Coturnix japonica: one gene and its partner. Each later gene encodes a partner of the first gene's protein in a complex. Links are inferred from orthologs where the notes say so. Each region holds a gene or a part of one and is shown on either strand. Other genes may lie near its edges.

Region 1 (2,605 bases):
ACAGCCGGGCTGGGGAGGCTGGACCGGGAGCAGGGGGCTCTGCTCGGCAGAACCATTAATGCCAAGTCCCATAACAATAATCATAAAAGCCACGTCTCAGAGCTCATCGCGTGGCCACTAAAGCGATGCCTCTGGCAGCCCCCCCGTCTATCAGCAATACCTGGGGGGCCAATCGAAAAGTCTCTGCTTATTCCAGCTGATGGCCAATCTCTCTCTATTTAAGCCTCTCAGACAGCTAATCTAATCAATATTGCAAGGAGGGCTGCATTAGCAGCGAGCGCAGAGCGGCTGTCTGAGCCGCGTTGATGGAGAGGGGAGGGGGCGAGGGGCCGGACCCACCTGAGGAAGTGGTTGAGGTCTCCATGCTTCATGTACTCAAAGACCATGATGAGTGGGTCACCCTCGCCACACACACCATAGAACTTGACGATGTGCTCATGCTGCAGGTTGGTCAGCAGCTCTGCCTCCCGCTGGAAGTCCAGCCGTGCGCTCTCGGTCACCTCCTTTAACGCCTGCAGGCACAAGGCGTTAACATGGCACTGACCAGCCCAGGACCCTCATCCCCCCCAACCCCTTCACCTTCACAGCCACCAATGTCTTCTCCTGCTCTGGAAGGAGGTGGGAACACTCAGCCAGAAAGACTTTCCCAAAGGCTCCCTCGCCCAGCTCCCACTTGAGCACAATGTCACGGCGCTGTACGTGGTGCACACCTGGGGGACCCACATCCATCAGCCCAGAGCCCCCACCGCAGGAGGACAATGGGGAGCAGTGGGGGATGCTGAGGCAGATGCATCCCCAGCCTTACAGGCATTGCAGAAGTACTGTGGGTTCTCAATGAAGTTGCTTTTCAGCCCGTCCAGCTTGCTCTCTGTGGAGGACACGGGGCTGCTGCCCAGGTTCATGAAGTGCAATGACATGGCCAGGTCATCCTCCTGGGCCAGCACGGCTGAGCCTGCAGGGACAGGGGCACATGAATAGGGCCATCACAGAGGGGTGAGGGGTGCTTTGTGCAGCAGTGCCAGGTGCTGCCGAGCATCCCCCCCCCCTCCAGCCCCAGGGGAAGTCAGTGCGATCAAACCCATTTGCAGGCTGAATCCATTCCAGGAGTGAATTAGCAGCTGCTGCCCGCACTGCTTGGCCCCGGAGGAGCCCCATTGCCACCCAGTGCCCAAGGGGGTGCCAGGCAATGGGGACCCATGAGGACCATTGCCCCATGGCTGTGCCCCTACCCGGTGCAGGAAGAGGGGACTCACGGTTAATGCCGAACTTGGAGCGACGCCCGCACTTGTTGAGCGCAATGAGCATGACAGAGAGGAAGAGGGAGGCAAAAACAGCCAAAGCCACAGCCACGGAGACCTGGGGACAAAGGGAATGGTGAGTATGGGGCTGGGGTCCTGCTGCAAAGCCAAGGACAGCACCCTTCTCCAAGCCCTGGAGGTGATTGCAATTCTACTGGGGAAACTGAGGCACAGCGGAGGGCAGGAGGCTGCCTATACCCCATCCCATCCCACCTTGCCTTGCCTCTGGTTTGCTTTCACTTTAAGGACTGCTTTGCTTTCCCACAGGTGTCCTCATGCCCCTTACCCCAAATCACAGGGCACCCCATCCCAGTCAAGTCCTCACCCCAAATGTGTGCTCATCCGCTGTCTCCATAGGGCCCTCCAAAGAGCTGTTCCTGGTACCTGTGTGGGGAGAGGGCACAGGGTGAGCGTGAAGTGGGGGCACATCCTCACTCCTGCACAATCACTGCAGCCTCATCATTGGGCATCACCACAGCTGGGGGTTAATAGCAGGGGTAGCAGCATGCCCCAGCACTCACCCAGTGGAGATATAGACACTGTGCAGCATGGAAAAAGGAAAGAGCACACATTAACCACCTCCCCCCCATAAGAGAGTCCCATGTTTCCTTCCCAATCCTTGGGGAAACTGAGGCACGGGAGGGGGACAGAACCCCTTGGCAAGGTGGGAATAGAAGTTTCGGTGCCTCCTGTGTCAGGATTAGGGCAGCACATCTCCTTCAGCCCCACTGTGACCCACCGGGGATGGGCTCCTCAGGGCTGAAGCTGAAGGGGTTATCCATGAAGCGGCCCTGGATGCTGCGGGTGGCTCTGCCCAGGGGGTTCTGCACCACGAGGGTGTAGTTGCCGTTGTTGACATGTGTGGGGCGGTTGAGCTGGAGGCAGCCGTGCAGCGTGGTGGAGTTGGGCTCATACTCCACAATCCGCGTATGGATGTAGGGCCCCTCAAGCAGAAACGTGCCATTGAAGAGCCAAAAGATGCTGGGTGCTGGGTTGCTGTCCACTGAGAAGGGGATGCACCAGAAGTGCTGAGCGATGGCCTCGTGCAGGAGCAGAATCACCGGTGGGACTGTGGGGACAGAGCTGCCTGTGTCCCCAAACATGCGTCCCCAAATGTGGGACCCCCAAAGCTGACCCTCATACCACCCCTGGCCCCCCAATCCTCCCTCTCTCTCCCCATCCCCTGGGTTGCTTACAGGTGACATTCAGTATCACGCTGTCCTCTGCCAGCCCCGCTGCATTCTCTGCCCGGCATGTGAGGTCCTTGTGGTTCAGGCTAGATGAGATGTTGTTGATCTCCAGGACAA
Region 2 (3,196 bases), about 750 kb from region 1:
GGAGGGGGCTCGGGGGGGGGGAAGGGACCAGGGGAGGGGCTCAGGGGGATGAACCCACCGAGGGGTTCAGGGGTGGAGGAGGAACATGGGAGGCGCCTCGGGGGGCAGAGAGGAAGAAACCACTTTTAGAGGGGGGGGGCGGGAAGAACCACGTTAGTGTCTTAGGGGGGAGGAAAACCATAGGGAGGCTGTCTCAGGAGAGGAGGGAGGAAAAGAAAACCACAGTTGGGGGTGGGGGAGGAGGGAACCAATGGGACGGGGTCAGGGGGGTAGGAGGAACCTATGAAGGGGGTCGGGGGGGGGTCGGGGGGGGAGGAACCGAGGGAGGAGGGCTCTGGGGGGAGGAAACCATGGGCAGGGAGGGCTCAGGCTGGAGAAACCATTTGGGAGGGGGCTCTGGACGAGGGGGAGGAACCAGGGGGAGGCGGGACCAGGGGGGAGGAAGGAAGAAACCACGTTAGGGGGGCTCAGGGGGGAGGGAGGAACCATGGGGAGGGGGCTCAGGGGGGAGGGGTCCCGGCCGCCACCCCCTTAGGTTCTCAACCCGCCCCTTCCCCAACACAGCAGCCGCATCGTAAAGAAATACCAACTTTAATACGAACCGCCGGATCCTTTGGTTATAGCGGGGCCGGGGCTGGGCTGCGCTTTGGCTTCGGGGGGGGGTCGAGGTGCATGCAGTGGGGACCCGGCCAGCTCCGGCTTTAAGGGAGGTGCCCGAGAAGGGGCTTGGCAGGACCTGGAGGGCATGAAGGAGCTGGCAGCCCCCCCACCCCAGCCCGGCTGCATTGCATATATGTGTGGGACCTGCGGGGTCAAGGCACAGTTACACATAAAGTGATCGGGTACATTCGGTGCGCGGCCGGCCGGGCCTTGTTTGTGCTTGGGGAGCAGAGCGCAGGGCACAGCCCTGGGTGAGCCCCCCCCACTCCATCCCCCCCACCCCAACCCCTCGGGGCTGGTGCTGCTCATGGGATGAAGCCTGGCCACCCCCAGTTCCAACCAGGCTGGAGCAGAACCCGGCCCTGGGCTGGTGCCCCCCAGTGCTGACACCGTATGGGGCCGGGATTTGGTATGAGCTGAGCAAAAGGCTGGAGCTGGGAGGAGAGGAGGGGGCTTTGGCACTACCAGCCCCCCGGCCCCACAGGCAGCTCACACCACGCTGCCTGCAGCCCAGGGCTGCCAGCTTCGTGTGGTGGTGGTGGGAGGGTGAGGACCATCCCCAAGGCAGTCCACGCTCAGCCCCGGCTGAGTCCAGGTGCTCCCCAGGGTGGGAAGCAGGGCTGGGGGGTGTGGGGGGGTGCGCACCGAGGCCCCCCTGGAGCTCACAGTCTCCTTTCCACTGGCTGCTGCAGGCACATCTCGCTGCCAGCTGAGATGATGGGCAGGTGATTGTCCATATGGTAGCTGATGAGGTGGCTGACGCTCTCAAAACGATGATCTTTTGTCCGGACCTGCAGGGAATAGGGAACTCAAGAGGCTGCAGATACACCCAGGAGTCCCCTCTATGCTTTACCAGGCCTCCTCCATCCCCTAAGCCAGCCCGGAGGTGTCCCCAAGGTGGGGTTGTGGGGAGATGTAGGGCCCCCCAAGCTTTGGGGTTATAGAGACTCACCACTCCTTCGGGGTCGACGAGCAGCAGGTGCTTGGGCTGCCCACCCTGCAGGCCGGTCAGCACGTACTGCCCCGGGGTGGTGATGCTGTCCCTCACCAGGAAATCTCCATTCACCTTCAGCAGTTTCTCAGCCTCTTTGCGGTTCATCTTCCTGTGATACCACGGTTCCCTCCTCAGCTGCTCCTCCATGGAGGCCACAACTTGGGCAGGAGGAACGGTCACGGGCACAGACTGGGGGGCACGAAGGGCATCTTCAAATGGCTCTGCAGGAGAAAAGGAAGGGGCTCCATCACACACCCAGCACAGAGTGCACAGCCTGCAGCTGCTGTCCCCACTCACTCATGTCGAAGAGGTCTCGCTGGGCGCTGCCGTTGGCTGTTGCAGGGCTGCCTGCAGCTGCTGCTTGGCGTGTCTTGTCCACGTTCTGCACGTTCACATAAGATGGGTCATCAAATAGGTCCGTACGGCCGGACGCACCCGCTGCAGGTGGGTATTTCTCTCTTCCTGCTGCACAAAGCGCTGTGGTCAGCAGCGCTCCGGCACCAGCACTTATTGCTGGAGCACTTTGGGACCAGGAAAGCCTATGGGGACCAGCCACATCCATCACATTACCTTGAGCGGGACCGTGCTGCTTCCTGGGGTCAAATTCCCCACCAGACGTCTGGCCAACAGGCTGTAGAGAGGCACATGGTGAGACCAAAAGACCTTGCTGTACTCTTACCCCTCCCCAAACCCCAGTATGGACTGCCAGAGGTGCTGGACAGAAGCGTGGTGTGGATTTTGTGCAGCCCACAGCCCCATTGGGGTCCTTGCATCTCCCCTATATAGCAGAACCTCCCCAGCAGCCCCTTGCAGACACGCTCAGCGCCTTACCAGTGTGGCCCCCAGGTGATTGGGGGTCTGCGCAGCTCCATCCCGCAGCCGCATGTCCACGACCCCCCCTATAGGAGGCTCCTTGCCAGGGAAGTCGTTGTAGTACTGGTGATCTGGGGCAGGCTCCTCCTCTTCCTCATCCCAGGCTGAACCATCAAACCCTGCCATCCTGGAAGGGAACAACACACAGCTGAACAGCTGACAGCAGCCAGGCCTGCATCCCCTCCCAGCACCAATAGACCTCATGGACCCCCATCTCTCCCTTCTCTTACCTGTCGTGGGGTGTCACCAGCTTCGGGGGGTTCTTTAGGTACTGCTTGAAGCGCAGCTCAAAGGCTTGTCCAATTGTGCTGATCACATCCTGGGCCAAGCCCTCAGGGCACTCCAGGATATGGCAGGCTGGGAAGGGAACAGCGAGATGAGAGCAGGATTAAATCCTACACCCCCTGATCCCACCCTGTGCACCCCAGAGATTCCCTGCAGGGACCCAATCCCTCTCTGAGCTGCACCCAAAATGGGGCTCTTGCAATTCCAGCCTCACCTCTCTGGTTGACGGGGTCTTTGGCAACGTAGGCGACGTACTCAGCTGTGTCCTGTGGGAGAGAGTGGTGATGAGCCAGGGCTGCTCAGTGCCCAAGACTTAGGGGAGAAGGCAGGAGAGGCTCTGATCCCCAGCACAGGGTAGGATGTGCTGGTTGGGGAACCTCTGTA

The links.
Region 2: the proteins of NTRK1 (region 1) and SHC1 are in contact, whole or in part, in an NMR structure (PDB 1SHC), measured with the Homo sapiens proteins. The link is inferred for Coturnix japonica from reciprocal best matches to the Homo sapiens genes NTRK1 and SHC1. Residues at the interface, in NP_002520.2 of Homo sapiens: His489, Ile490, Ile491, Glu492, Asn493, Pro494, Gln495, Tyr496, Phe497; in NP_892113.4 of Homo sapiens: Met176, Arg177, Ala178, Leu179, Ser259, Ile260, Ser261, Phe262, Ala263, Ser264, Gly265, Gly266, Lys279, Asn283, Arg285, Ile301, Ile304, Gly305, Phe308, Glu309, Phe312, Lys313, Gln314, Tyr315.

The regions. Positions count from the first base shown.
Region 1 is NC_029540.1:688,349-690,953, reverse strand, and holds part of NTRK1 (high affinity nerve growth factor receptor), read right to left. Parts: coding exon 2,495-2,605; intron 2,368-2,494; coding exon 2,038-2,367; intron 1,683-2,037; coding exon 1,624-1,682; intron 1,357-1,623; coding exon 1,254-1,356; intron 953-1,253; coding exon 806-952; intron 711-805; coding exon 580-710; intron 513-579; coding exon 340-512; intron 1-339. UniProt on the Homo sapiens protein: Receptor tyrosine kinase involved in the development and the maturation of the central and peripheral nervous systems through regulation of proliferation, differentiation and survival of sympathetic and nervous neurons.
Region 2 is NC_029540.1:1,438,505-1,441,700, reverse strand, and holds the end of SHC1 (SHC-transforming protein 1), read right to left. Parts: intron 3,079-3,196; coding exon 3,027-3,078; intron 2,885-3,026; coding exon 2,758-2,884; intron 2,655-2,757; coding exon 2,486-2,654; intron 2,286-2,485; coding exon 2,225-2,285; intron 2,120-2,224; coding exon 1,952-2,119; intron 1,876-1,951; coding exon 1,613-1,875; intron 1,452-1,612; coding exon 1,323-1,451; 3' UTR 576-1,322; downstream 1-575. UniProt on the Homo sapiens protein: Signaling adapter that couples activated growth factor receptors to signaling pathways. Participates in a signaling cascade initiated by activated KIT and KITLG/SCF.